4 linked regions of the Arabidopsis thaliana genome follow. The protein of the gene in region 3 interacts with the protein of the main gene of each other region in a biochemical or structural test. Each region holds a gene or a part of one and is shown on either strand. Other genes may lie near its edges.

The links.
Region 1: the proteins of AT2G02780 (region 3) and AT1G56140 form a complex in vitro, tested with the Arabidopsis thaliana proteins (one large-scale study listed by BioGRID).
Region 2: the proteins of AT2G02780 (region 3) and AT1G63430 form a complex in vitro, tested with the Arabidopsis thaliana proteins (one large-scale study listed by BioGRID).
Region 4: the proteins of AT2G02780 (region 3) and GHR1 form a complex in vitro, tested with the Arabidopsis thaliana proteins (one large-scale study listed by BioGRID).

The regions. Positions count from the first base shown.
Region 1 is NC_003070.9:21,001,170-21,010,282, forward strand, and holds AT1G56140 (Leucine-rich repeat transmembrane protein kinase), read right to left. Parts: upstream 6,687-9,113; 5' UTR 6,557-6,686; coding exon 6,436-6,556; intron 6,193-6,435; coding exon 6,006-6,192; intron 5,857-6,005; coding exon 5,785-5,856; intron 5,699-5,784; coding exon 5,627-5,698; intron 5,507-5,626; coding exon 5,435-5,506; intron 5,334-5,434; coding exon 5,262-5,333; intron 5,104-5,261; coding exon 5,032-5,103; intron 4,900-5,031; coding exon 4,828-4,899; intron 4,710-4,827; coding exon 4,638-4,709; intron 4,551-4,637; coding exon 4,479-4,550; intron 4,397-4,478; coding exon 4,325-4,396; intron 4,114-4,324; coding exon 4,042-4,113; intron 3,957-4,041; coding exon 3,891-3,956; intron 3,659-3,890; coding exon 3,593-3,658; intron 3,409-3,592; coding exon 3,364-3,408; intron 3,241-3,363; coding exon 3,179-3,240; intron 3,096-3,178; coding exon 2,713-3,095; intron 2,604-2,712; coding exon 2,405-2,603; intron 2,324-2,404; coding exon 2,165-2,323; intron 2,054-2,164; and 11 more. Other genes in the region: AT1G56145 (Leucine-rich repeat transmembrane protein kinase), read right to left, coding at 7,056-7,391, 7,464-7,614, 7,695-8,218, 8,323-8,441, 8,540-8,698, 8,777-8,975.
Region 2 is NC_003070.9:23,519,771-23,527,775, reverse strand, and holds AT1G63430 (Leucine-rich repeat protein kinase family protein), read right to left. Parts: upstream 5,280-8,005; 5' UTR 4,881-5,279; coding exon 4,799-4,880; intron 4,460-4,798; coding exon 4,321-4,459; intron 4,185-4,320; coding exon 4,113-4,184; intron 4,028-4,112; coding exon 3,884-4,027; intron 3,785-3,883; coding exon 3,644-3,784; intron 3,547-3,643; coding exon 3,430-3,546; intron 3,350-3,429; coding exon 3,285-3,349; intron 3,203-3,284; coding exon 2,945-3,202; intron 2,854-2,944; coding exon 2,648-2,853; intron 2,540-2,647; coding exon 2,407-2,539; intron 2,317-2,406; coding exon 2,159-2,316; intron 2,059-2,158; coding exon 1,843-2,058; intron 1,661-1,842; coding exon 1,325-1,660; 3' UTR 944-1,324; downstream 1-943. Other genes in the region: HMA5 (heavy metal atpase 5), read right to left, coding at 1-121.
Region 3 is NC_003071.7:780,687-787,653, reverse strand, and holds AT2G02780 (Leucine-rich repeat protein kinase family protein), read left to right. Parts: upstream 1-2,731; 5' UTR 2,732-3,007; coding exon 3,008-4,268; intron 4,269-4,358; coding exon 4,359-4,480; intron 4,481-4,555; coding exon 4,556-4,802; intron 4,803-4,889; coding exon 4,890-5,083; intron 5,084-5,149; coding exon 5,150-5,187; coding exon of another isoform or gene 5,188-5,212; exon of another isoform or gene 5,213-5,266; coding exon 5,267-5,381; coding exon of another isoform or gene 5,382-5,444; exon of another isoform or gene 5,445-5,470; coding exon 5,471-5,722; 3' UTR 5,723-5,980; downstream 5,981-6,967.
Region 4 is NC_003075.7:11,200,215-11,207,475, reverse strand, and holds GHR1 (Leucine-rich receptor-like protein kinase family protein), read right to left. Parts: upstream 4,749-7,261; coding exon 3,749-4,748; intron 3,638-3,748; coding exon 2,111-3,637; intron 2,025-2,110; coding exon 1,438-2,024; 3' UTR 1,196-1,437; downstream 1-1,195. Other genes in the region: AT4G20930 (6-phosphogluconate dehydrogenase family protein), read left to right, coding at 6,440-6,553, 6,865-6,953, 7,060-7,174. UniProt on the Arabidopsis thaliana protein: Receptor kinase acting as an early component in abscisic acid (ABA) signaling.

The sequences.
Region 1 (9,113 bases), on a different chromosome or scaffold from region 3:
CCGTAATAAACATCACCAATTAGACCAAAAACATTCAATTCAACAGAACACAATCTCAATGTGACGTTTATAAGATTATGTAATTGATCAACATGGCTTGCTTAAATTGCCTGAACCATTTCTTTATTGACTTTTAATAATGTAAGACAAACACCAAAATATAAAAACAAAAGCACACGTTTCAAGTTTCAAATCGTCGTCCATCTCCGACTTGGGACTCATAAATATTCTTTAGAATCTCAGGTCATATCCGGTTCGAGCTCGTTGAACCACTCATGAAAAGTGTTCTTAATAACTTCCTTCATTTGGAAACCAACACAGTTACACTGTAAAAGAGACGGCATTGATTTGGTTGAGGACGTGAATAGTACGTGGCCCATCACGACCGCTTGTGGAAGTCAGAGGAGCTAAAATATTATTATTATTTAACCAAAGTGAAATCTAGAGTTTTTCCAATCCAAGAAGAATAAAGTGAACCTCATATACACAAACATAATCTCTATATGACTATATCTATAGCCACCATATAGGGTCTTTGTCATCTTCCCTCATTCATCTGGGCTCCAAGCATTGGCCTAGCGTCGTTGTTTCTCGGTGATATCTCGGATCTAGGCGCCACAAAGCTCGTGAAGGATTCAGAAGCCTGTGTGTTTCTTAATGGAAAGCCGCTGATTGAGGAGGCTGTGGTGTCATCAAATCTCCAGTCGGTTAGGTAGCCTGGCTTTGAAGTGACATCACTGACCTCAACATCTCCTGAAAGCATGGCCACCACTCGTGACATTGGTGGTCTCAAGGCATGAGATGTTTGTGTACACAGCAGGGCTATGCCAATCATGCGTTTCCCTTCTTCCATGTTGAATTCAGTCAGCTGATGATCAATAAGTTCAACTTCACGGCCTTTCTCGTGTAGATTCCATGCCTGTGAACAAGTTACACAATCAATATCAGCTTTTGCTAAAGGGCATAACCCAGATTAGCCTCTCATGGTCACATACATTGAAGTTGTGTTCATTATCAAAAAGTGTTGAAGTATGGACGTACCCATTCAAGAAGATATCTTTTTTCATCCTCCAAGTTCTCATCAGAGTTTGGCCTTCCACTCACTAGCTCAAGAGCCACAACACCAAAGGCATATACATCCGTTTTCTCTGTTAGATGTCCACGCATGGCATACTCTGGCGCAAGATACCCACTGCATTGATACAGTAAAATCACCAACATGTGTTATAAATCCATAGTTGTGTTGCAAACCAGAGGTCAGGGTTGGGAGTTACTTACATTGTCCCTGCAACCCGGGTACTTATGTGGGTTTTCTTGTCATCGTACAGTTTTGCAAGCCCAAAATCAGAAACTTTTGGTACTAATTTAGAGTCAAGCAAAATGTTGCTGGCCTTCACATCCCTGTGTACTATGCGAAGCCTTGCCTCCTCATGGAGATAGACTAGACCTCTGGCTACTCCCAGGCATATCTCATAACGGGTTGACCAATCAAGATGCAAAGTCTTTTCCCCTGCAACATTCAAACCAATGACATGTACATAATGAGTGATTTTAGCCTGGCAGAAGCATGGATCGATAAACATGCTTCTGTGCGTACCAAATAGAGCCTGATCAAGACTTCCGTTAGGAAGGTATTCATATACAAGCAAACGATGCTCTCCTTCATAGCAGCACCCATAAAGTTTTACTAAGTTGCGATGTTGGACTGCAGAAATTGCTACAATTTCTGCAACAAATTGTCCCTTCCCTTGTCGGGATCCCACCGACAATAGCTTCACTGCTACCTCTCTTCCATCATTGAGTTTTCCCTGTTGAATGCATTATTCAATAAATGATATTGTCAAAACAAAAGGTAATATCAAAACAAAAGATAGTACACATATACTCTTCTTTCCTAATATCTCAAATATGTACAAATTTCAGTAGGGACTTACCTTATAAACAGGGCCAAATCCTCCCTCTCCAAGCTTGTTTGAGGGATCAAAATCTTGAGTTGCACTTTTAAGTTCCGAGTAAGTGAAGGTGTAAGGCTTAACGTCCATACTAAGTATCTCTGCCAGAAACAATTCGGTTCTTAAAATCGACCAATATGAGAGATGATATATAACTAATTTTTAATCAGAGGGCCAAAATTCTACAGTTCAAGAGCTTTTTACATCTATACCTTCATCATCTGTGTACCGCTTTCTTCTTTTTCGGATGATAAAGATAACCACACCAGAAATGATGCTCAAAAGTCCAACGCCAACAATGACACCCACAATAGTACCAGTCATGCTCTTTCCCTTTGATGGTGGCCTATTACCCACAGTTGGTGTGAAATCTGAACAGAAATATGTAACACTTAAGCACTAACTAGCATCAGGAGATGGTGTAAAACAAGAAGAATTCACCATTTATTTACCTGGTGTTGCACCGACGGCCGATATTAATGGCCCATAAGCCCCTTGGATAGGAATACAGCATGTTCCTTTTCCAGCCCAGAAAAGATGAATTTCGAGATGATTTTGTGATACATTTGCTTTATATTCTCTCTGAACTGCTCGAACAGTGGAGTCACCAGCTGTTCTGCGTACATCGAAGTCCTTTTCAACAAGTCTTCCCTGGAAAAAGTGAGCTAGTCTTAGAATTCATCAGAATCAAAAGTCGGAAGCAGATAATTACACCAAAATTTAATTTGTAAAGCAGAAAGCTCGGTCAAGTAGTGCAGACCTGGACATAAATGTCAAAACGTCGTCTTCCTAAACCTCTCCAAGTGTTGGAAGTAGAACCTAGAATTTGTATTTCAGCAAACTGAAGTGTGACGGTATAGCCTCCATTTTCTAGACCCAACCCATAATACCTTAGGGAAGATGCAGAAAGTCTTGCTGACTGAAATAGCTCTGAGTCCAAAGTGTTGACAAATTGTGATTGTGAAGTAGATATGTATATATTGTTGCTACTTCCGGCAAAAAGTCCTACACTACTGGCTGCCCATCTCTGACCAGCACTCACGACAAATGAAGCTGGTCCAAGATCCTCGTCCTCCCTCTCAAATACTGCTTCAGTTACAGATCTTATCTCTGGGCCTCCGCAGTTGATTGAGAAGTCAGAATCTAGACACCAGTGTAAAGAGAAAAAATTTAGCGGATTTTTTTCCAACATTTGCTCAAGAAGCGGATATTGCTGTTACACTTACATATTCCTTTCCCTCGATTGCATGGGAAGTTCTTCTGCAGGCAGTTCAGTCCTGATAAAACCCTTTTTACAGAAAGAAATTAAACATATGATTAAACTATTTGCAAGCAACAAATAAAAAAGAGAAAAGAGAAACAAAGGGAAAGCAATTTCAAGCCCTAACAAGAACATTAATTAAAAAGTCACCTGTTGTCAAGACCTTCCAATGTGAAGTTGTTAGCAACTAAGTTGCTGCACAAAGAACATACAGTTTAGTTTAATATTATTCTCTCTAACATGATTATAATAAATAATTTCATACAAAAAGGAAGCTTCATGCTGGATATGAAGAAGTCTAATGAATATACATGTGGGGAAATTTCTGAATGTAAAACACTGTTAATATAAGTCGTGATATAGTGTTTTGTTTACTTACAGATTCAAGTTTGGTAAACTGACCCATGACGGAAGACTTCCAGACAAATCATTGTATGACACATCTCTGTAAGCATAGAAGAACACTAATTAGGATCGCCAGAATATGTTACCAAAATAGTTTCCTAATTATCTTGGCATGTCATTTGTGTCACCAAGAGTGGAATTCTTATTCGACTTGAATAAATGCAGAGTAAAAAGTGTACGAAACTTGAGTATATATCAGTTAACAACCGTCCAAGAAACTAGGGGACATGGCTTTTAAAGATGGAAAAATTATAAAGGATTTTGTTACTTACACATTGCTCAGAGACTGCCCCTTTTGAGTGGGCAATGAGCCATTCAACGTGTTGTTCCCCAGAAACCTAATATGAAGACAACAGTTATTTTTTCACAATAATCCGGGTCGCTGTACATAAAGATCCAAAAGTAGAAAACATATCATCTTACAAGTGAGTAAGCTGTCTTAAGTTGAAAAGTGAAGCCGGAATTGTTCCATGTAGTTTGTTGAAGCTCAAATCACTGGAAAACAGACATGAATTACATGGTAAAACGTCAAACCATTCCTGTTAAGCAATAAATGAGGAAAAATAAGAAATTATATAATCAGAAATATAGGATCAATTCGTAATTTCTCGTGACTTTCACAAATCATCTCACTCTTTTTACAAACAAAAAACCCCTGAAAAAGCTGCTAGAGCATTTGAAGAAACAAATTGACATATATACGTACAGTTGTCGCAAACTTGAATATTCTCCAATATTAGACGGTATTGTCCCAGTGAGATTATTGTTCCTCAATACTCTGCCACATATATTACAAATGTTAAATACAGGGAGGAGAGAACCAGATCAATTCCTAGAAGTTCAAGTTGAAACTGCCTTACAATATACTTAGAGATTTCATGTCTTTGATGAATTCAAGAGAAGAATTTCCATTGGATATATCACCAAGCCTCCTACATATAGTATATGAATATGTGGAGAAAAGGAAAGGAAGAGCAACAGTAAAACGATAATGATTATGACAACAATGCAACACATACAGCTCTGTCAAAGAAGTTAAGTTTGAAAACGACGCCGGTATCGGACCACTCAAACCAGTTCCAAGAATTCTCCTGCAGTAAAACACGTACCAGCCGTTAAATCCCAAATTTAAATGTAAAAAAGACTGGTTAAAAAAAAAGATCAATGGAACCAGCCTATTATATAACCGTAAAAATGAAAACTTCTTACAAGGTAGTAAGTTTGGTCCAATCTCCTATAAAGTCTGGTATCTGACCTGTAAGTTCCATATCCGCAATCCAACTGGTACCACATTAAGGAAACAATCACATCACGGCAAAAAAGACTAAATTGTAAAGTAATAAATAGATTACAAAAATAAGATGCAACTAAAGTTAAACAATAAAGCTTATATTCGACTTCAATATGTCTTACGCTTGTTCCAGCTCCACAAGATTAGCAAATGATACAGGTAATCCCCCGCTGAGTCCCGAACTATCTATGTATCTGCAATAGATGGAAGAAATTTCCCATCAGTCATCAACTGCGCTAGAATTTTGAGGTCGGTGATCGCTAAATGATTTCAAAGGTTAATATTTAATCATATCTAAATTATAACCAAGGATATAAAGACATAAACACTTATAGATTGACAGAAAACTCACATCTGTTGTAGTTTTGTACATCTCCCAATCTCATCTGGTATAGAACCCGAAAAGTTATTTGAACTAATACTACTGCAGAAATATATATAGTGTATAAGGAACCGTCAGAATCCTCCAGAAGCAATGTGAAGACACTATCATATTTAAACAATGAAGAAGCAGCCTAAGCTTACAGTAATCTTAAATCTGTAAGCAAACCGATTTCTTTAGGAATAGGGCCAGACAACGCATTGATCCCAAAAGTCCTACGTGATAAACAATTGAGAGTGAGAAACAAGAAATGTTCCTATAAGGGTGCATTATCAATGAAAGGTGTAGACATTCACCACAAACAATAAGAAAAAAAGAAGGTGTCAGAGACATACATCCATCGCATTCGAGTCAAATTTCCAAGTGCAGGAGGAAGTGAGCCAGTGAGAACATTTTGACCCAAGTTCCTGAAAGAAGTGATTTTAAATTGTGAAAATGTGTGCTCCTTTTGTAGCTGAAATTGTATAATCATCAAGTGATAGTAAAACCATACAGATTTGTCAGGTATTCCAAGGTCCAGAGTTGTTGAGGTATAGATCCTACAACTTCCATCGCATAAACCTTGCTGTGAAAACATCAACAACATCCAAAAATGAGGAGAAGAATTTGAGACATGAAATTGAAAACCATTCGTTTCCCCCACAAAAGTCAATTCCCAGTGGGAGAATACGTCGAACAAATGGGGTGCAGAAAAAAGGGGGAAAGAGGCCCTACATGTTGGTAATGCGGCAGATTGTGGAGTTTTCGAAACTGCAGTCGCATTTGATGAGAGGATTGTAGGCAGGGTTTGAGTCGAGAACACTGGCGTCGATAGCGGCGCCGGAGCAAAGTTCGCCGCTGATGTTCCATTCCCTCGGCGCCCGAATCCTCCAAGCCGCGAAAATTGAGTTCAAAGCTAGCGCTGTTTTTATTTACAACAGTCAATTATTATTAGCTCTTAACAAAATACGATTAACTAAACAAAAAATGTCAATTGAAACTAAACCGGTAAACTTCTTAGGATAAAATAAAAAAATATTATAAATGTAAACATCGGTTTTATCAATTAGGATCAGAAGAGTAGCTTAAGACCTAGCTACACAGTCTTCAATCCGATCGATTGAATTTGAACTTGTCAAGTTGTTCAAAGAAGAAGAAGACAGACCTTCGTCGGGATGTGTGGTGGCTCCTGTTCGATTTTGAGCTCGAACCACGTAAACCGGACCGAAATTACACAAGAACCAGACAGTGAGGAGTAGACACAGATACCGCCATAGCCTGAGCATCGTCGGAAACTAAAATTAAACGGAGAAGAAGATGATAGCCGCCAAAACTAGACGGAGAAGGTTTTAATTTGGTTCAAAAATGGTGTTTATGTTGGACTTTGAAGAGATACTTTTCATTTGGCTTAATTTGAATTTAATTAATGGTCTAACCAACTACGCGGAGCAGTGCGTCTCACGCGATGCATCCACAAGCCGTGAAGTGGACGCGCTTAAACCGAGATTCCGCTGCGTTGTCAACGGGAGATTTCAACAATGGCGGCTGCTGCCTACGAGTGCAAGAAGCATCACCACCTTTGGACTTTGATACTAAATGCCAATGATGGTTTTAAGGGATTTTAATGTTAAAAATGGGACCAAACACAACTTTCAGGAGAAACAGTCAAATCCAATTTTGGTCAAACGAATATGTATATGTGTTATTTACCAACAACGATTTCTATATTGACTTCTTTTTTTTTATGTAAGAACAAAAAATAGAAAAACCACAAGTTTTCAAGTTTCAATGTCGTCGTCCATGTTCTTCAACTTGGGACTTGGAAGAATCTTTTGGAGTTTCAGGCAATATCCAGCTCGAGCTCGTTGAACCACTCATGAAGCTCATTGCATTCTCAAATGTTCTCTCAGAGACGTACCCTGGCTTGGCATTGGCTTCCGTTATCTCCACATCACCGGTCAACATACCTACCACTCGGGACATAGTTGGTCGTATTGCATGATCTGTTTGTGTGCACAAGAACGCTACTCCTATTACACGTTTCACTTCTTCCTTGTCAAATTCTGTCAGATCCGGATCTACTACTTCCATATCACGCTGCTCTTGGTGTAGGCTCCATGCCTGCAAAGACCAAATTATTCACCAAATTTGGAATTAAAAAGGATGTGTTTGTAGGAAAAGTTAGATATATACCCATTCGAGAAGGTATTGTTTGTCATCATCTAATTCTGGAGAGGAGTTAGGCCTTCCGCTGACAATTTCCAAGGCCACTATACCAAAGGCAAACACATCCGTCTTCTCCGTAAGATGTCCAAGCATCACGTACTCTGGTGACAGATATCCGCTGCAATATAACATTTAACAACGGTAAGTTTTAGCCCATTTGACAAACCACATCCAATGTGAGGTTTTCAGGATATTTACATCGTCCCTGCAACTCGGGTACTTATGTGGGTCTTCTTATCATCATATAGTTTGGCCAACCCAAAATCTGAGAGTTTCGGGACCAGATCCGAGTCCAGAAGAATATTGCTTGCCTTCACATCCCTATGCACTATACGGGGATTTGACTCCTCATGCATATATGCTAAACCTTTTGCTACTCCCAAGCATATCTCGAAACGCTGTGACCAACCAAGCTGCAAACTCTTTTCCTCTGCCACAGTCACGCAACATGTAAGGTAACAGCATTTGTTTTTTTTACAAGGATAACACATGTAAGATCTCATGCACTTACCGAATAGAGCTTGATCTAGACTCTTGTTTGAGAGGTATTCATATACAAGCATGCGCTGATTTCCCTCAATGCAGCATCCATACAATTTTACAAGGTTGCGATGCTGAACAGCTGATATAGTGGCAATCTCCGCAACAAATTGACCCTTTCCTTGCCTGGATGCAACTGACAATTGCTTCACGGCTATCTCTCTTCCGTCGTTCAGTTTTCCCTGTACCAATGAATATTTTTAGAATATAGATAATGTAAAATTTTACATAACTTTCTAGTACACTAGACTCCCAATATTGGTACACATTCTGTGTACGGTCTTACCTTAAAAACAGGTCCAAATCCTCCCTCCCCAAGCTTGTTGGAAGGATCAAAATCTTGAGTTGCAGTTCTGAGTTCTGAGTAACTAAAGGTGTAGGGCCTTATGTGCAGACTGTTTAGCACTGCATTTGAGAAATATTTGATAAATACCACTTAGAAGGTTACAGTTGTTAACGATTAGACTTTAATAAAACTGCCACAGCTAAGACTTTTCATTTACCTTCTTCATCAGCCGCCCTTTTTCTTTTCCTACGGATGAATAAGAGGATAGCAATCACCAATATACATAACATCCCTGCTCCTACAATAGCCCCTACAATGATAACAATGTTTTTCTTGGATTTCGAGGGCAACTTATTTTTTACAGTAGGTATGAAATCTGCAGAGAATAAAAGCCGCTAGTTAGAAGATACATTGGACTCTACGAAGATCATGAAAGTTTCTGCTGTATGTATACCTGGAGTTGCACTGATAGCTGAGACTAATGGCCCATAAGTGCCTTGAGCAGGAATACAGCAGGTCCCTTTTCCAGCCCAGAAAAGATGAACTTCAAGGTAATTTTCTGATACATTTGCTTTATAGACTCTTTGAATAACTCGGATACTAGAACCGTTAGCAGCTTTTTGCATGTCAAAATCCTTCTCAACAAGTTTTCCCTGAGAAACAAAAGGAACTCAGAGGTCAGAAACCATTTTTGAGAGTAGAGAATATCGTTCATGAAGAGTTGAGCCTTAAAACGATGCATCTAATTTTCACCCCCACTTGAACGAAATATGTGCTACAACCTTGTACCA
Region 2 (8,005 bases), on a different chromosome or scaffold from region 3:
TCTCCGACGATGATCCTCCGCCGCCGTCGCGAGACCTGGTAAGGTGCTTCCGCACCAGAGGGTAACGCTCGCTGAATCTCTCTTTCCTTATGCATGTAAGCGACAAAAGCTTCGTCGCCATGTAATCGATCGTCTTGTGCGCGAATCTTGTTCTTCTCGTATCGAATTTGAGTTTTTAAAAAGCTTTTAGGTTTATGGGAAATGATGAGACTTTTTGAAATTGTTTTGCTTTTTAAATTGGAACGAAGACGAGGGAAAGCGGTTTACGACATCTAAAATGACAAAAATGTGTGGGCCGATTTGTAAATGTTTAAACTATAGGGCCCTACCAAACAATACTTTACTTTTAAATTTCAACCGCCATATATAAAAAGAGAGAATTTCAACCTCAACAGATTAAATTCCAATTTTCTTTTAAATTATATAATTCAAATTTAATCGTCCAAAGTAACAACACCTTTGACTTTAAGGTTCGCTAAAAAAATGGATTGATTAGTGATGACAAAAAAAAAAGGATTGATTAGTGATATTATTACGACATGATGAAGTAATCTTTTTTTTTTTTTGATAATTAAGAACAGGCCTGATTAAGAATGATTAAGTAATCTTTACTTGTTTTTTTCTGTTTCAATAAAATAATATGACAATATACTAACGAAACTTGGCTAATCCATATCTGTTTTAACTAAAGGTAAAATGGAATCTATTTTACGTGTCTGTCTAATCTTTTATGGCACTCAACCTCGTAAGAAGAAGTCATACCAAAATTGAAGATTGAAAACAGTCAAAGCATTGATAAATGGGCCTATTGACTTGTGTGGCCCATTTAGACTGATACGAGGCTAAATGTGGGCCTTTTATTAAGTTGATCCATGCATTATGATTTATGAACTTCAACTACGTTTCTTCTTCTTCTTGGTCCGCAAACACTTGTCTGAGACTGATATTGATCTCAAATTGATTGCCTTGAAGCTTTTTCCAATGAGACTAATCATGTCAAACAATAGATACAATGCTCTATATAATATAAGATTAAAGGTTAGATCCAAACACACTACATTAACATTCTTCAACCTCTCATAGATTTTCAAATAATAGAGAAAATCTTTCAGAAACTATGTTCATCTCTTCATTTACAAACACTTTGAACCACCCAAAACTCAAAACTAATCAAGAACACAGACACACTCGTCAAGATCAGAGCAAAAAAAAACAATATCAAATGTTGTAATCAGTCGATTGATTTACAGAGTTGAGAGTTTGGTTTTTAGTTAGTTAGCATTGCATCATTCAACACTCGTTTTCTTTCCTTTCATCATTCTCATCACGAGTCAAGCGCCAGCTCGGCCCAAGCCAAAGAAGATGATCTAAGCTCCGCTGAAATAGACAGACTGATTCTGCTCTCCAATGTCTCGCATAGCTCTTGCACTGAGGGCTTGTTGTGATTGTTGTTGTTGTTGGTTGGGTCCCGGTTCAAGCATTGGCTAGCCACTTCGCATACCGTCTCAAGATCTTCTTGGTTAAAATGTTTCAGCTCTGGATCCACCAATCCCGACATTGCCTCTGGTGCTTCAAGGAACTCCTTTGCCTGCAAAATGCAATAGATACGTTTCAAATTCAAAACTTTTGCCACAAAAACCACATTTGAGGTGCGATATAACTAAACATGTGAACAAGGTCAAGACTTCCACATCCAGACGAAAACTCGTCTCTCCCTGAACAGACGACTCCATTCCTACTAGGCTAACAGTAACAAAGTTTTTGATATAAATGGTGAAAAAAGAGGAGGAGGAAGTAACTCAGTTTCAAGTGTTTAGAGAAACTGAGTTGTTTTTGTCTTACCCATTCAATTAAGAATCCTTTGTCTTTGCAATAAGGAGGTCTTCCACTGACAATTTCCAGCAAAAGAATCCCGAATGCATAGATATTACCCGACACATCAAGATATCGGCTCTCCATTCCGTTTGGGAGTACACATATCGAACCCTGGCTACTAATATTTCTCAAATTCTTTTCTGATCTTGCAAGAATTGTCTTCCAGCATTCGAAATCAACCAGCTGCATCAGAGAAAGTCAGAAAAAAGAAAGAATGTGAACATAAAGCTTAGCTTAGCTAATTGTATTACTCAGATAACAAGCAGGTCTCACTTTACTTTACCTTGGGAGTAAAATCTTCTGTGAGATAAATTGCGTTTGAGCTCAGCTCAGAGATTGTAAACGGAGGATCAAGTTCCATATGAAGGTACTTGAGACCACGTGCGATGCCTATAACAATCTTCATCCGTCTTGCCCACGATACTAACGCCGCTTCCCCGTCTGCATCAAAATATTTCACATAAAAATGTTATCTAGCTAAAACAATACAGGATGATGCAACAAAGCTCTGAGGTAAGTTAGACTATTTACAGTGAAGGTGCTCATATAGTGTTCCGTTTGATGCATACTCAAAAACAAGCATTCTTGTAAATGGTGAGATCTCTTTGCAATATCCAAGTAATTTCGCTGTGTTCTCGTGGTTTAATCTAGCCAAATCTGCAACCTGAAACAGTGAGGAGATGGATTTAAAATCTCAGAAAAAAGGAGGATATGTTTAAAGATTGTTCAATCCAAGTGGCTTGGTGATGATGATAACATGAGAGGAAGCTACCTCTCTCTGGAAATAGAGCTCAAGATATCCAGTCCAATCTTCTTCCTTTACACAAAGAGAGATCACCGCAATCTCAGACCCACCTTTCAGCGTTCCTTTATAGATCTGACTATCTGCTGATAAACCAATGATGTTGCTAAAGTCTTCACACGCCACTTCGAGCTCTTGTCTTGTTAATCTCGAAACATCCTTCAGCATTTCAGAATCTGTAGTTAAAATAAAAACATGCCACGTTTTTTTAGTTCTTTGCTCCATGGATTCTACATTGGAAGGTAAAGAATTAGGAAAGATTCTAACCTACGTAGACTGTGAACTTTTCCTTTTCACTTGAAGATTTCTTCCAAGGAATGATGAGAGTTGATCTATTGTTCCAGCGGTGAACTGCAGAGAAAAGTGCAACCAGAAGGAGCAAACCAACCATTGACCCTGTGACTATCTCAAGAGCTAGAAGCCATTTAGGTTTTGATGCTCTATGGTGCTTAGCCACCATTTGAGCTGATTGGTGCTTAGGAGCAGCGCTCGGGCTTCCATGAGTTTTGACCAGTTGTGCATTAGCTGCAACAGGGATAACATTCAGAAAACCAAGACTAATTGAACATGTATGTCGATAAAGTGAAAATTATTCTATCTTACACACCGCATTGGGAAGAAGATCTATGCTTAAGATCCTTGTTTTGCATGCAGTTCCCTTGAAAGCTCGTCCTAGTGACCACAAAAGAGCATTTCTAAGACTAAATTGAAGACTTAGAGAGTTCCAAAAGACAGCATAGATGATAGAATACCTTGGAAGGTTTTCTAAACATTTTGGAATATTTCCCACGAAAAAGTTGTATGAAAAGTCAGCTACTTTTAAAGATTTGCACAAACCAGCGATGTTTGCACTTGAATTTGAAGAATACCTAAATAAATTGAATAAACAAAACCCGATTAACATTGCCATCATAGACAGAAGTCACATAGTGTTTCATTTTTGGCTTCTTGAGCTATTAAACTTACACTTTCGACTGATAGCCCGATGCTCCAGCAACAAGAAGACTTCCTTGAAGCCTATTCCTGTCAATATGAAGTTCTCTAAGGTACTTCAAGTTACCGAGCTCTGCAGGCAACTTTCCAGTCAAACCATTGGACTGAAGGTTGCTGTAAAATGTGAAAAGAAAAACTGTCGTCTCAACAACTCATCTGTTAATAAGATATGAAAGCATCACTTTGACTGCGAAAAAGATGAATCTTTATTACATTATCATGATGCCGGACAAACTCCCGATCTCTGCAGGGATCGGTCCCATAAGATGATTGTTTCCCAAGTCCAAGATTTTGAGATTCTTTAAGTTTCCTATCTCCTTAGGTATTGTCCCTATTAGAATGTTCCCATGTAGGATTCTACAGAAGCATTTTAATGATGTTAATGAGATGCATCAAACTCAATGCATCAAACTACATATTTGTGAAAGAGATGAAACCGTACAGTTCCTGCAGGTACGTTATTTGACCCAATTCCGGCGCAAGAAACCCTTTTATCGATGAAGCGGATATATTTCTGCACGAAAAGAAGATCCACAAGCTATAAGCTCAAGCCAACTTCATCCTAAACCACTCATAAACAACTGATTCTGCAGATACTATACAAGAATAAGTAAACGCAAGAGAAAGAAGAAAAGATGAAAGATTCTTACATCTTGATAACATGATCTTTAGATGGAGAGCAATAAATGCCGGTCCAATCACAAGGATCTGAATTGGGGTCATTCCAATTAGACATAACTAGCAAAGGGTCCTCATAGATAGCTTCCTTGAATCTTCTAAGTGCTTGAACTAACAAAAACAGAGCAGAAGATCCATAAATCTATTAGATGATTTATATGATCAGACCTTGAATTAAAAGCTTTAACTTCACAGATTCTTCTGATCTTATCCATTAAAAAGATAAAACTTTTTCAGGTTGATTAAGATTCTACACTAATCCCAACTCTGTTCAAGTTAAGTTAGAAAGTTGTTCACAGAGAGATTCATGGAGACTGAAGAATCTAAAAAGGTATGAGCTTTATCTAGCATTTTCTTAGTAAACCTAACACAAGCGAGAAAACAATTGAAATCTGAGATCTGGGTTTAAGAAAAGTAACACAAAACAAAGAGATTAACAAATAGTTTTACCTTCATTAGAGGCAAACCCATCACAAGAAACGAAGAAGAGACCAAGAACAAGAGCTAACGAACAAAAATACTTCGATCTCATCGTCTGTTGAAAGATTCCTTCAAATTCGGCTCATTAAAAAAGAAGCGGAACCTAGATTCTTTCACGGATGATCAACAGTATAAGCTCAAGAAGAATCTGGAGAAAGACGACAACTTTCTTTGACAAGTACTCTCTGCAGAAATGAGATGTATAAGCTCAAGAAGAGACCAAGTTTAGTAAAGTAAAGAGCGAGAGAGAGAGAAGCTGAAGAATGGAACAAGGAAATGGTAAAAGAGAAGTGAAACTGGACAAGATTATTTGATTGATTTAGCAATAAACCTATCAAAGAAAACTCACTGAGACGAGAACAAAAAAAAAGTAGCAGAGATGATGAAGTGTGGCGAGAAAGAGAGAGAGAGAGAGACTTGGATTCAAAGACAGGTTTTTGTTTTTCCTTGTTGGAGGGGAAAAATGAGCTTTAATTTTTTTATAGAATAAAAATAGCTATGAAAATATACAATTTAAATAAAAAATATCACAGAAAGGAAGAATGTTCTCATCCTCTTTATCTTTTTATTTCTTTTACTTTGGGCAACTTTATGTGACTCTGAGTTGTTTTTAAATATTCTGAATTATGGATGTTTTTTTTACATGAATGTTTGTTTAGTTTTTAGATCGATTTTCTATTCATTTATATAAGTGAGAAATATATTTATCTATATTAATAATATATATACATCAATCATGTGGCAAAGCTTAACACCAAATTAATAATAAGGAAATATCCAAATCTTTCTATATCAGGAATCTAGGGGCATATGTACAACTGTATTTTTGCATGAGATTTTAATTGTAATATACAGTAAATTAAAAAATGATTTGTTAGTGTTAAAAAAATGATCTGTTGAAAAGATAATCGTTGTATTGTTATTCAAATATATATTATCGCTATTTTACTTTTAAAATAAAATGTAAATTTTATACAAAAAAAATTGTGCATCAAGTGTAATGTTCCAATATCATCGTTATTATGTAAGAGTAAAATTATTTTAGAACCTGATTTTTATTAACTTTATTAATTATAGATACTAATGTGGTATTTGTGTAGTAAGAGCAAAAAAAAAAAATATGAGAGAGGTGAGAAAAAGTAGGAGAGAAGGAGAGTTAAATTTTTCGGAGGAGAAACTTTGAGAAACTATTCTTATCAAATTTGTACAGATGTCATCATATTATTAGTTCAACTATTAAATAATAATTAATATATTTGTTTTGATTAAAATATTAATATATTTTTTTTTGAAAAACTTTCCTTATTTTTACTGATGGAAATAGTGTGCCGTAGATTTTTCTTCACTAATTTAATGTGGATCTAGTTTTTGAAAGAGGTAAATTTTTTAGTAGTGAATTTTTAGATATTCAAAAAATTAATAATAGGACAGACTATTATTCGAACGTAAAATGGAAGAGAACATCTCATTAGAATAATGGTAGAAATGAATAAATTTCGTTGGAAGATTCCTAATTAAGAGTATAATATTGTTGCTAATCATTGAAATAATAGTGCGTTTAATTTATAAAGAGAATTTATTTTTCGTGGTACGGTCACGGTGTCTAGTGTCTACTAGTCCACTACGGTGATCTAGAGCCTTGCTAAGCTGTTGTTACAACATACCGTACTACTGTAGATCACAGCTATGATCATTAAATTGTATTTTAATCAACGGTCAACATATTAACATGCAATACTAATATATAAAATAATTATATTTTGTTAGTAAATTCAATTTCATTGTAATAAAATAGTATCGTGAAGGCTATAAACAAACTTCAAATAATACGTATTTGTCAATTATAATAATAAGCTATTTAAATATAGTATGCTACAAGAATTATTATTTTTAGTGTGAGAGACAAAATGTCCCATGAAAGTTACGCCACCAATCATGCGAGCTTATGCTTGGAGCGCGTGACGAATACTCTCCGTATTTTAGGTTTATTGTTACCACTTGGAAGTTAGAATCATTAACTATCACAATTCACAAGTTCGAAAAATCATGACTATGATGTTGTGGGACTAAATGAAGAAAAAACAAAAAAAAGCTAAAATCTCCATTAAGCTTTCTCTAGAAACAATTGTTGTTTCATGGAAATAAATCAAACATAATGTCAGAATATTAGAAAAAAACATTATGCAAATTAACACAATAAAGTAGGGAAAATCAAATGGTTTAAAAGATACAACGCTCAACAACTCTATCAATTAAATAATTTCTTTTAATTGTCAACAAAGTTACACAACATATATTTTTAATGTTTGGTACAAAATCTACATAAACATTTTTAGATGAATCCAACTAACCCCTCGTTTATTTCTAGTACATTCTACGTTTCTTATTTTTTTTAATAAGTCTTTATATAAATTATATAATTGGCCTCAAGAGATCGTAACTTCATTAATTGAACAACAAACAAGAGAAGGGGACAAATTACCCATGCGTGTCCCAATTTGTTTGTTTCTAAGTTATTTTCGTGTTATATTTATTTCGTTATATAAACGTACACACATATTTGTTTCTAAGACTTGTCGACATCCCATTAGATGATTAGATCTCTTGTATCATTTATGTTTATGTTTTGACTGCTTATGCACTTAAAATTCGTATGGTATATACTTTCTACTGTTTTTTTAATTTTTATAATCAAGATATAAAAACGTATTACTAAGAATATTTTCTAATTAAATATATACATACACTTCTGTTACAGTTTGGACATGAAGGTTCCCTTGTCGTCACGCCCAATGCTTACAAGCAAACATTGAGTAGATGCTAAGGGAAATTGATAAGAACCATCATGAATACACAACTTTGTGATGACATCAAATTTAAATACGGGGCACTTGTTCAATCATACTTTCTAACCAAAGGATTAGTACCCTTTTTCCAATGGATTTAATAATTTAATGTTGCAGAATTTGGAAGTCAGCAGTTATCTCAAATTAAGGTTTGAGCTTATATGTACAGTATTCGGGTTTAGATCTAAACCGGGTATGCAAATATTGTGGGTTTTACACGCATTCGGAATAATTTGATATAACTTAATAACTGAACTTTTATTAATCTGCAAATTTTATAGTGTTCGTGAAATTTAAGAAGTTATTTCAGTGTTAGATCAACCATTTTCTT
Region 3 (6,967 bases):
TGAAACGCATTAAATGTTTGTTAATTACGTTTATTCAAATTGTGTAAGGGTGGTACAATAAGTCAATCAACCAAAGTGGATGAACACATAATGACCAAAAAAAAAAGAAACTTTCTTTTTTCTTTTTATTGTAGTAATGAATTATTACTACGTTAACTATGACATTATCTATAGTACACACTAAATTTTATTAGAATCATCGTTCTGTCACCATCTAAATTAAAATTAAATTATTAGAATGCTAAGTGTCATATCATATGATTTAGCTATAAATAGTTAACCAAAAAAAGAAGCTATAAACATATAATACTTTATAATCTTCACTTCATTTACAAAAATATACTGCTAAAACTGTAATTTGGTATAAGAACAACTGATACTTGAATTTCAAATTATTTAATTAACAGATCAAGTCGAATATTTTATAAATATTATCAAAAGCTGATTAAAACAACAGAAAGACTCTTTTCATTCTCGTTACTCAAATCGCTCTGTTGACGTACATAAACAATTGTGTTTACTCCTCTAAGTCTATCTCATATTGACTTACATAAACAATTGCCCAACAAATGTCTATATTCAATTAAAAGCAACAAAGAAAAAACACTAACTAAAAAAATAGAATCATAATCTGAAACGAAAACTAACTTTTTCTTTGTCTCAATGCCGATCAATTAGCCTCCATGAGCAGTAATCCTACAATTATAAAGAAACGTATTATAATGGTTAAAACTCTTGTCATCAATCCAAAAACACTCATACTTAATCTTAGATCTCAATTTGAGATAAATTCGAAATAAGCCTAGATTTCTAAGTTACAACAAATTTTATTGATTTTAATCAAATAATAAAAACATATAAATAATTATTTCATTCACATAAATATATCTAAGAAAGATAGACACACATAATTAACAAAAGATAAACTAAATCGTATTAGAGTCATCATTTTGTCACCATCCAAATTCAAATTAAACTATTAGAATGTTAAGTGTCATATCATGTGGTTTAGCTATAAACATGTAATACTTTATAATCATTTTAAGTTATTTCTTATTACCATCATTCACTGGAATTTGTTTTACAACTTTTGTACAGTTGATCTTTAATAAATGAGCTAAAACTAAATAGAAGATTTTAAATTTTGATGATTGTCTATATATTTAGTGTAAAACAGTAAATGAAAGGCAAAAAAGCTGCAAATCAGATTCTGAATAAAAAACATGTTATGACGTCTAATCAAAGTTTTAGGATCCGAGAAGTTTACTTTTCTTGAAACACAATAATCGAAAGTTTTGTTTAATCAAAAGAAGCTCATAAATAAATTCTAGGATCCTAAATAGCTAAGTAAAAAACAAACTGAAATAGATTACAATGAATTCATACATTACATTTTTGTAGTTTGAGACCCTAGAAATACGATCTTGTTCCTCCTCTTTTGTTTATAGGCTCAGTTTTAAACCTTAATAAATTAATAATCTCGGAACCGATAAATTCTAATTAATTTATAAAGGTATTAATTTATTAATAAATCTTATAGAGAGATTTTATTAATTTTGTAATTTTTTAAAATTTCTATGTGAGAAGTAGTTTTTGTCTTTATAATCAATGTCTTTCAAAAATAAATTACAAATAAAAAACCAATTGTTAAGTTAGTAAACAAAAAACACTTTGTTCAATATAGTAAAAATATTAGAAATGAACTCTACTAAAAATTTTATACAAATTTAAGAAAAATGAACAATACTAGAGTTAAATCCCACTAATTTAATTAAATATATATATATATATATTAATAAGTGTAAAATTATTAATTTATGATATTGATGAGATCATATGTTTACGTAAGAGTTTTTAAAAACTTATTATTTTATAATTTCATTGATTTGTGTTATTTATTACATTGAAAACGTCAAGAATTTATTAATTTGTAAAAATAGTAATTTATCGAGGATTAGTTTATAAATAATTTACTGTATTAGCATTCACAAGGAATAAGCATAGTACATATATGTCCCAATGTTAAGTAAATCATTTTTTGTATAATTACTTGTCAAAAAAAAAAAAAAAAAAAAAATCATATAGAAACTAAAATATTTGGAAATATATATGGACTCAAAGGTTGTACAATTTTGGGCCTAACCGTATTATATATAATATACGGGCTAAATGTTACACGTATGAAGCCCAAAATAACCTCTCTTTTTTTTTGTCAAACTTGATTTGTAATTGAATTTTAATAAAATTAAATAATTGAATTTTAATAAAAATTAAATAATTGAATTTTAAATGCATATTTTTCGATAAAAAAAAAATGTCTGTTGCAGAAAATATTAAATGATACTTTCGCAGTGACGATTATTCCAAGGCCGTTTGCATGTGCAGATGTGCTTGATCATATAAAATCCATTCAAATTTTCTAACATTAGTAAATGAACAGTTCATCAGAATAAAAGAAACAGCTCGACATTTGGTAGAATCTCTAACCACACTTTTAAAGAAAAGACACAAACCTAATGGCTTCTCTCTCTCTCTCGAAGACAAAACACGACATAAATTTCTTAATCCTCATTACCTATCACCGACAAGTAATGAAACATCTCTATAATCTTATCTGATCAATCATATATAACCAAAAGCACTTGTTTTACTAATAAAACAAAGCAAAAATCATGTGAAATACAAGTTCTTATTGTTAATTTGTTATAGTAGTAATCAAATCAAATAAATAAACATTTCATCTTCTTGGATTCATTGCAAAACAGTCTGTCAAGTTGAGGTTGTGCAATGTGCAGTAATGAACAAACAACCAAACCAAGTTTAAGAACTTAAAGATTGCATTTATTGCCTCCACCTTAATTGGCTTTTCTACTTTCATTTACTTCTTCTTCTTCTTCTCTTGATCCAAAGTTTTCCTCTACACTACCTATAGATCTGTCTTTGTTCCTAGAAAAATGATAACTTTCAGTGAGTTTCTGTTTCTCTAAAGGCAAAACACATCTTCACTATGCAGATTTCTCTTCAAATCCATTTATCTTCCTTCACTTTTCTTCTTCTTATTTTCCTTCTTCCAGTACTCTCTGAGTCTCAGGTAGCTTCAAGTGAATCACAAACTCTTCTTGAAATCCAGAAGCAACTACAATATCCACAGGTTCTTCAATCATGGACTGATACAACCAACTTCTGTCACATTCGTCCGTCTCCTTCCTTGAGAATCATCTGCCTCCATGGTCACGTAACAGAGTTAACCGTCACCGGGAACAGAACTAGTAAGCTCTCTGGAAGTTTTCATAAACTCTTCACTCTTCTTACACAACTATCGAGCTTAAAGACTTTGTCTCTTACTTCTCTCGGAATTTCTGGTTCTCTTTCTCCTAAGATCATCACTAAGCTATCACCGTCTCTTGAGTCTCTCAATCTTAGCTCTAATTTCATCTCTGGGAAGATTCCAGAAGAGATTGTGTCTTTGAAGAATCTGAAAAGCCTTGTTTTAAGAGACAATATGTTCTGGGGTTTTGTCTCTGATGATCTCAGAGGATTATCAAATCTTCAAGAGCTGGATTTGGGAGGTAATAAACTCGGTCCTGAAGTTCCTTCACTCCCAAGTAAGCTCACCACTGTTTCATTGAAGAACAACTCCTTTAGATCCAAGATTCCAGAACAGATCAAGAAGCTGAATAACCTTCAAAGTTTAGACCTTTCTTCCAACGAATTCACCGGGTCGATTCCAGAGTTTCTGTTTTCGATTCCTTCTCTTCAAATTCTCAGTTTGGATCAGAATCTGTTAAGCGGGTCACTTCCAAATTCTTCTTGCACCTCCTCAAAGATTATAACTTTAGACGTGTCTCACAATCTTTTAACTGGAAAGCTTCCTTCTTGCTACTCTTCAAAGAGTTTCAGTAATCAGACAGTGCTTTTCTCATTCAACTGCTTGTCTTTGATTGGCACTCCTAACGCGAAGTATCAGCGTCCGCTTTCTTTCTGTCAAAACCAAGCAAGCAAGGCAATAGCTGTGGAACCTATCCCCAAGGCTAAAGATAAAGATTCTGCAAGAATCAAACTCGGGTTAGTGATTTTGATAATCATCGGTGTGATCATCCTTGCAGCAATTTTGGTTCTGTTGGTTTTGATTGCCCTCAAAAGAAGAAGATCAAGATCAGAAGATGATCCTTTTGAAGTGAACAACAGCAACAATGAGAGACATGCCTCTGATAAAGTCTCTGTTTGCAGCACCACAACTGCCAGCTCTAAGTCATTACCAGATTCAAGTAAACAATGACTTATCTTATTAATACTTGGACACTTGAAACTGAGTCTTTCTCTAGCAAAAACCATTAACAGGATCTTTCTGAGTGTAGGACGTGTACCACAGACAATGAGATCTGCAGTGATTGGTTTGCCACCGTACCGCGTTTTCTCCTTGGAGGAACTGGAAGAAGCGACTAACGACTTTGATGCAGCTAGCCTGTTCTGCGAACAGGTAAAAACAAAAACTTGACTTGAGACTCTGGCGACGAACCTAATAGATTACTTAATATATTTGGTATTCGAACAGCTGTATAGAGGTTGTCTAAGAGAAGGCATACCAGTGACAGTGCGAGTTATCAAGCTGAAGCAGAAGAGCTTGCCACAAAGCTTAGCTCAACAGATGGAAGTTTTATCAAAGCTAAGGCATATGCATTTGGTTAGCGTTCTTGGACACTCCATTGCCAGTAACCAAGACCACAATCAACACGCTGGACACACCATCTTCATTGTTCAAGAATACATCTCTAGTGGATCATTGCGGGACTTTCTCACAAGTAATAATAACCTGAAAAAGATTAGAATATATATTCAGGTTTCCATAGACTCAAATGGTTATTCATTATGGGAATTTTTGTGATCAGACTGTAGGAAGAAAGAGGTACTGAAATGGCCTCAGAGAATGGCGATAGCAATAGGAGTCGCTCGAGGGATACAGTTCTTGCATATGGGAGTAGCACCAGGAATCTTTGGGAACAATTTGAAGATAGAGAACATCATGCTTGATGAAACACTCACAGTAAAAATCAGTGGCTATACTATTCCTTTACCATCCAAGGTATAAAACTTTGTTTTATTTCTTCTTCTATTAATTGAATCTAAGAAAATTTAATGGCATTTCTAGGTTGGAGAAGAGAGGCCTCAAGCCAAAAAACCTCGGAGGTTGTTGTTGTTTCTTAAGATATGATCAAATGTGTTCTCTTCTATCAAATTTTGAAACTTGTTAATGAATAATGTGCAGTAATGAAGATAGAGAGAAAGAAGATGTGTACCAGTTTGGAGTGATACTACTACAAATCATCACAGGGAAAGTAGTTGCTGCAGGATCTTCAGAGATGGGAAGTTTGAAGCTTCAGGTCTGTTCTGTTTCAGTCAGAACCTTTTCATCTTTAAGAATCCGACACGGCTTACAAATTTAGAACCTCAATGTTATTATTTCCTGCAGCTGGAGAACGGTTTGAGAGATGAACCATCAGTATTGAGCAGCTTAGCAGATCCATCTGTTAAAGGATCATATGCTTATGAGTCGTTGAGGACGACAGTAGAGTTTGCTATCAACTGTCTTTGCGAAGATCAGAGCAAGCGTCCTTCCATAGAAGACGTTGTGTGGAATCTACAGTATACAATTCAAGTGCAGCAAGGATGGAGACCAAGCAGTGGGAATCATGAATCATCCATGAAAGCAATATATGAATGAAATGATCATAAAGAGAGGCAAAAACTGTAGAAACAATAATAAGTTTCAAACAAGTCAAGATGTAGTTTCATGGACTACCTGAAATATCTTTTATTAGCTAACTTAGTAATCTGTGAATAAAAAGCAAAAGGAGTTGAAAAACACACAAAGACATGTAAGAGAGTGTGTCCAGCTTTGCTCGACAACATTGCAGACTCTTCTGTTGTATTCGCGCTTGCTTTCGCTGAACATTCGTGCATCTCTTAAAACAAATCAGCAGTCTACAATCTTGCTAACCTGCTTGATGAAGACATCAAAATCTTCAAAAACCTTCACAGGTTCTTTATAACAAGAATCTCTGTGCCTGGAATACTATAGAAAATCCCAAAAGTTACTGCAAACCTCTCACTATGCTCACGTCTAACCTCTCCATCTCAACCACACTCCGTGTTTCGGGCAATCTCCAATACAGAAGTCTCTACCTCATCCAGCATTCTATAAACTTCCTTTGTTATGACTTGTATCGCTAGCTAAAAACAAGTGCTTGTGTTCCACATAACTATAATAACCATAGCTATACCCAGGTTAGGTAAGATGTCGAAAACAGCAAGTGGCTTTGCCAAGTTACCTCACCTAGCATACATACTACTGATCAATGCATTTTCGCTCACAAAACAAATTTTGTTACAATACCATTGGCTTTTACTAGCTTCTTACTTCTTGACCAATCTCTTGAGCCTCCAAGATAGATAGGCACAAGAAGACAGGATCATGACAAACGCTCGATGATCACAAACACATACACACCAGCTTCCTTCATTCGAGTTTGATATGTGAGCTCTCGTAGACGCACGTTCCATGGCGTCGAGAAGCCACCGCAGCGACGGTCATGGATATTGGCACTTTCGATGAGCTTGGCGTGTGGGGTATTTGTTTATGTGTCTATGAACCATTTATTGGCAAAAGGGTATCGACCAAACAAGATGGTCCATGTGGATGAGCCTGGTTATAAGTTTTTGGCTGTGTTGTTTGAAGTTGTTGTCATTGCCATTGTTATGATATGGGACACTTGAAAAAAACACCAATTGACTCATTGATTTCTCAGGTTTGTAAAGAAAGGATGTTGATTTTGAATTGTTTATAGCAATCCTCGTATTGTAGTGTACTTTGTAGTTTGTAGCATCAAAAATAACAACAACAATAGTAGAAGAGATGTTTCTCTTTTTTTTTTTTTCGCCAGAAGAGATGTTTCTCTCTTATTCCATT
Region 4 (7,261 bases), on a different chromosome or scaffold from region 3:
TGAAAAAGCACGTTCAACTAAATTATTATACTTTCCACTCATCTTTTCAACCTCGGCTCAAGATTTTGTCTAGATCGGCCAACGCTTGAGCAGTCTTGCCTCTCAAACAGCGAGCTCAGCACAAACACGAGTTAAAAGCAAAAGGAACGCCTCCTTCAAACGAAACGATAACTCCAATAATGATCATTGGCACGCAAAACGCATCGGACGAGTTCGGAACACTCGCTCGTTGTTCATCACGATTAACGACCCTCGTCTCTTCCCTCTCCCCCTCAAAGAACCACTTTCGAATGACTCGAACATCCCAACTTGAACACCAGACGACCACTTTGATCCAGGAGGCTCTTCAGAAATGTGACGGTCACGCAACACTCGAGGCGGCCCCTTTTAACCTTCCTTGTCGTCTCGCTTGACTATCACCGAGACAGCACATCGTCGTGATAGCAGCCTATACTTTGAAAGCCATGCGACGCTTCGATCTCCGAACCTTGAGAAAATTGAAAGACAAACCAAACATTGCGTCTTCCCCATGCGCGACTTTTTACTTCCTTCGATTGAGTTTCGAGCGCCTGAAATCCTGATCCACGTCATCAACGATGCATCAGGATTGGGGGGCAACTGTTAGGGGTCGGATTGGGCCTACTTGGCCCAATGCCCAAACCCAAGTCAAAACCCCAAAATAAGTTCCAAGGTTCAGCTATAAAACGAATAAACTCTATTCTTCCTCGGATATCAAGATCGTTTTCCGGCCTCAAGCTCGTCTTTCATCTACAATCGGCTCGTTCTTTTTCCATTTATGCTTGTTGAAGAAATCATCCTTTGTAATCCGTCCAATTCGCCTAAGTCGCGGGCTCGTCATTAATAGAAAGATTCTTCTTCCTTCCCTAGAGATCCCATTTTCGTACTTGTGTGATTCGTGCATCAACAGTTCCATGTTTTGATTGACGATTTCCATGTTTTGCTTACCGATTTGCATCTATAGATGCTTCTCAAAGACAATCTCGCTAGAATCTCCGTCAATATAGCCTCCGGGAGATGTATTGGTCTTTCCATTCGGACTTTGGGATTAGGGTTTCTAGGATTAGGGTCTGGAGAAAGATCATATATAATACAAAACGTAACATCTAAGTTAAGATTCCTAATTCAAAGACTCGGTTAAGTCTAACCGGAACATGAAACACAATTTAGCAACTTCCAAGAAGAGAGAATATAAATGGGAAAAAATGAAATTTCATTCACTCATGAGACATGAGCAGATTTCGTTTTTTTACAGGGAAAATGTAAAGTAAACTAACAGAAGACACAACACACTAGTACCTTGAATCAAGAACATGTTTCTCCCGAAACAGAACATGAACTTGACAAAGGAGAACACATTCAGAGGAACCAAACTCTATTGGAACCTACAAAACATAAAAAAAAAAAAAAACATTGTTCCTAAATAGAAGAAAGATCTTCGTAAATGGTCTTAATACCAGGTCTCTCAGAAACTGATCTTATACACCTCAAAGCAATCCCAAGAACTTCTTTCATGCCTTTTTCTGTTACCGGATCACTTCCCATCTCCTGAGTCAATACCGAATCAAAGCATTCTGCACCACGCCCTTCTGCAACACGTAACCTAACCCAATCGGTTAGATCAACACCTTCTTGCTCACCTGTGATTACATCTCCTGCACATCTTCCGGTTAGGATCTCAAGAAGTATCACACCAAACGCATATACATCTGATTTGAAAGAAGGTAATGGTTTTCTTGAAGCTGCTAGCTCGGGAGCTCGGTAACCGAGGATTCCTGCGTCTAGAATCTGTTCGACTGTGCCTGCTTGTGTCATGAGACGGTGGAGGCAGTAATCTGCCACACGCGCGTTTAGCTCTGCTCCATCTAAGAGAATGTTTGTTGCCTTGAGGTTACCGTGTGGAACAGCTCTGTCGAAATGGAGGTAGTTTAGACCACGTGCCACATCAACTGCGATTTTCAACCGTTGGGTCCAGGCTAAGGGAGGGCCTTTCCTGCCCGGTCGATCTGTCATCAAACAAGAACCGTAAGCTTGATGAAAAATACTGCACATACATATAATACTTAGAGAAGTTTATTGAAAGGAGCATTACCGTAAAGGAAGCTGGCAAGGCTTCCAGGCGATATATAATCTGAAAGAATAAGCTTCTCGTGTTGCGTTGGACCCCAATAGTACCCTCGGAGAGTCACAACATTAGGATGTCTAATGTTAGAAAATTTCTTCACCTCTTTAGCAAACTCCTTTCTCTGCTTTGCCACTCCTTCTCTTAGCCATTTCACTGTTAGAAACACTCCATTATCCAGCGTTGCCCTGTAAGAAGTGCCGTGGCTACTTCTTCCCAGAACTTCAGCTGGTGCCCTTGATAATTCCTCTGGAGTCAACTTAATTGAATCATCCAGAAAATGCAGCTCTCCCACAAGTCTATCTGGTGACCTCACATCAAGCCGTGCTAGTTGCTGATCAGCTGGGAATGAATCTCCTGAGCCAGGTGACCAAGACAAATTGCTGGTCTTAGAAGGAGAGAAGCCGGTTGCAACAGCTAGTTTTTCATCTGGACTGAGGATTTCGGATGATGAGCCTTTTCTTGAAGCAACCAGATCCTCAGCAGAGACAACCATACCACCTCCGCTGCCTGAGGGGATAGTTTGAGCCCGCCTATTAGTTTCTTTACCAGTAATACTACGTTCTTCGCGCCTTCTTGATTTGCAGATGCAGAAAAGGAGGATAGCCACAAGGATGAGAATAATTAGAGCAACAGCGCAAGAAACTATTATGACAACCTTAACAAGTTTGTTCGTGGATTTATTCTTGGAAGCTTCTGATGCACTTGATCCAGGGGACCCAGCAGGCAAGACGAGCTTGCTGTTTCCAGGATAAAAGGAAGGCGGAGGGAAGTTCTTCAGATTCTCTGGCACAGTCCCTGATAGATCATTATATGACACGTTGAAGGCCATAATGTTGCTAGATAAGTTGCTTGGGAGTGGTCCAGTGAAATGATTCTGGGATACGTCTAATGAGCTTAGAGAGACAATGTCATTCATGGAGCTAGGCAAAGAGCCAGACAAATTATTTGCTGCGAGATTCAGCACTTGAAGATTGGTTAAAGACCCGAATACACCAGGAAGATCCCCGTCAAACCGGTTGTGAGAAAGATCAAGAAGACGGATTCTGGAACCAGAAGAAGGCAGGGGTCCGATGTTACCTGTCATGCCATTGTTTTGAAGGTGGATTTCCTCCAAAGTGGGCATGGATAGTAACGCACCTGGAATTGGCCCTTCTAAGCTGTTAGAACTTATATCAAGTACCCGAAGCTTCGGATAGTGAGTTGGAATCCGTTCTGGAAGTGAGCCTGTGAGCTTATTGTAGGAAAGATTAAGATGATTTGCTCGCAGAAGCTGGGGAGTTGCGTCTGGGAACGACCCAGTGAAATGGTTCTGGCTTAGATCAAGGTACTCTATATTCTCCCATTTTGACCATCTTGTCAGATTTCCTTCAAACTGGTTGTTTGAGAGATCGAGTAAAACACATCCCCCAGTCAAGAGAGGAAGCTCCCCGGTCAGTGAATTTGAAGAAAGATCAAGGGTGTGAAGAGTAGTTGACATGATAGAACTTACTGGCCCTGAAACACAAAAGGAAAACCAATAAAAAAATATTAGATTTCTAGTTTTCTTGGTGCCACCGTTAACATATAACAATTTCCACTATGTAGAAGATAAAGCCAAGAGCATACCTGAGAGATTGTTGCCACTTAAATCCAGCGTTGTTAAAAGCAAAGAGTCACCTTTTAACAAATTATTGGGAAGGGAACCTGAGAATCTGTTGTTGCTAAGCTTGAGAACTTCAAGATCATAGACATAATTGAAACCTGGTAATTCTCCAGATAACATGTTGTAGCTAAGATCCAAGACTTTTAAGTTCTGAAACAACTGAAACCCACTAGTCAATGAACCTTCAAGCTGATTATGGCTGAGATTCAAGTGCTTGATACTCTCAGAAACACCAGGTAACAGTTTCCCAGACGTCGTCACCAATCTGTTTCCACTGATATCGACATAGCTCGCATTCGTTAAAAGGAAAAACTCCCCATCAAGATTACCATCAATTGAATTACCATGCAAATCAAGCACTTCAAGACTTGAAATCAACTCAAAGCCCCTTGGCATTTTCCCCGTGAATCCATTAGAAGACAGATTCAAGTACAGCAGATCGTTCAGCCTTGTCAAGGACTTTGGCAAAGGTCCAGATAAGGAGTTGCTACTCATATCCAACGACTGAAGTGAAATCAAACCACCCATAGACTCTGGAATCTCACCAGAAAAGTTGTTACCAGATAAAGAAAGATTCCTCAAGCTTACTGATCTACCAATCTCTTTAGGCAATGAAGAAGAGAACAGATTATCTGATAAATCCAGGAACTGGAGGCTTTTGAAACTGCCTAAATCATTTGGCAACACACCAGAAAGGGAATTGTTTGACATAGATAGCTTGACAAGCTTTGTCAAGTTGGAGAACAGACTGAAATCAGCATCAGCAGTCAAACCCAAATTATCCAAAACAACACCAGCCACATTACCGCCATTGCAGACAATACCATTCCATGAAGAAGGACAACCATTGAAGTCAATAGACTCATCGTTCCATGAATTAAGGACAAACCCTGTAGGGTCATGTTTGATGCCTTTCTTGAATTCAAGCAATGCCATGATGTCCTGTGATGGAAGTTGCCCCATTGCAGATAGAAAAAACATGGAGAGTAACAAAATCCTAGAAAGATTCATCCTTCCTTGACTTCAAATCTTTTCCCCCAAAAAGCTACAGTTTTTGAAGAATCCCAACAACTTTTCCAGCTCACCAACGCAGAAAATTCATGGAACCCCAAGTAAATCTGACATAAAACATAATGAAATAAGACAAAACCCATCAATGTTACCAAAAAAAAGTTTAAATCTTTCTGCAAAAATCAACAATACCAGAAATTTCACTCTGATAAAAAAAAAAACAGAAGCTAAAGAAAGAAACTTTACCTAAGATGAACAAATCTTCTGAGAAACCCCAATCAAACAAAATGCAGTAATGCTACTGAGTGAGAAGAGACAATCTTCACTCAAAGGGAATCAGCTGAAAAAAACATTAAATGAACAAATGGGCTATTCAATATTTGGGTCCCATTCCGAGATCTAACCTAACTCCAAAGCAAAGAGATAAATGAAAAGTGAGGATTTTTAAACTTACGGGGATGAAAAAAGCTTCTCACTGCAAGAACAATGTCGACAGAGTTGAAGAAGAAGGAAGACAAAAACTTTAAAGCAGAATCATTTTGTTCATTAGCTCATGAACTGCACGGGGTTTTGGATTAAGCTCAACAGTGTTGTAGACTGAGTCACTGAGCTAACTGAGGGAAATCTTTGTGGGTCACTTTAAAAATTAAAAACCCTTAAAAGATTGTCACTGTTTAAGAACAAAAGAAAGAAGCCAAAACAAAATTAAAGATAGAGAAAATGTTTTGCTAGTTTTCACGTTCGACAGTGACGAACGACAAGGACCTTGTAAAAGGGTAAGTCTTGAAGCGTGTGAACGGACACCAAATCAAAAACCCTAAATAAAAAGTAAAATAGCAAGAAATTATTTTCATGGGTTCACGAGAAGAAAATTATATATTAATTTACTTTTTCATAGTCTTTTCAGTGAGGAAAGATTTAAAATATAGTTTAATTACCCGCCTGGAATGGCCCGGGAAAGGAATCCAAAAAAAATGAAAAAAGCTACTTACACTAATGTTTTTAGTGAGTGTGACCATGGTGGACGTGAAAGGGTTTATCCAATATGGTTATGAGTCTATGTCCTTGCCTTTAGTGAGAGAGATTTACAGCATTGGGAAAATAAGCGAAAATTGCGCAGTGTTCTAATAAATTTTGGTAGAAACTTGCAATAAATGAATTTACATAAATAAATAATAGGGAAAATAAAAAGAGTAATGAGAGTTCGGAGTGAATGTTATTTACACCAAAATACAGATATTAAAAGCTTGCAAGGAAAATGTGTAGTAAATGAAACATGATTTTTTGAACAATCCAGAAAAAATAGTAATGAATATTCGGACAAATAAATATTTTTGAAGTTGATACCACATTAATTAGTAGGAAAATGTAGAAGCGAAATAAATACCGCGTAGGAAAATGGGTCCCACATGCTGACTACGTTGACTAGGGAAGACCGGAAGAGACAAGGGCATCAGACCAATTATTTGGGTTCTACTGATAATGTTGAAAGTAAATGTCCGGGTTCAGAATAAATTAATAGTTAAGGGGTCATAATTCAAAAAACAAAAATCTGAGTGTTTTGATGAGATTACACACTTACGTCTAAAACTCACTCTCATTTGCTAATTGTTAACTTGCTCTGAGTTTGAAGAAATTCATCAATGGCGATTCGCAGAGCGCAAACTCTACTTTGTCTTTCTAAATTCAAAACCAATTTCGTGTCTGGGTCGCTCCACCGGTTCTCTTCTTCGTCTCAAAATTCAAATCAATTCCAGGTTCTGCTTTTTAAATTGTCTTCATGATCAGAAAACATAATCTCTTTTCCTCATAAGTCACCTAGAATTTTATTGAAACGTTCTAAAACATGATCCTTAAGGTAGTTGGAATAAAAGATCTTAACTTTTGTAATCTCGAGCATAGTTAATAAGAATTTTAGTGGCCAAATTGCTTATTGATCTTGACCACTTATCTAAATTCATCAGTTCTGCAAAAAAAGTTGTCTGGATTAGATTTTTAACAGCAAAATTTGTCTGATTCAGTACCCAAAATTTATGTAAATGAAGTCTCATTTTTGCTGTTTTGTCAGAATGTTGGTTTCATAGGACTTGGAAATATGGGATTCAGAATGGTGAATAATCTAATTAGAGCTGGATATAAAGTTACCGTTCATGACATGTAATGTACTTTGAGTGCGTTTTGCTGCCTATCAATTTTCATATTTGGTTAATGTTGATTCCTTTGATTAACTTTCTTGTGCATATACTTGTGTTTGAATTTTCAGAAACCGTGATGTTATGAAAATGTTCACTGAAATGGGAGTCTCTTCTAGAGAAACTCCTTATGAAGTTGCACAAGATAGCGAAGTTGTGATTACAATGTTGCCTTCATCATCTCATGTAAGTTATTTACCTTTAGCAATAGTTTTATATGAAAACAGTTTGAAAGATCGTCCTGTTAGCTGTATGATTAGCTGCACCTAGTCT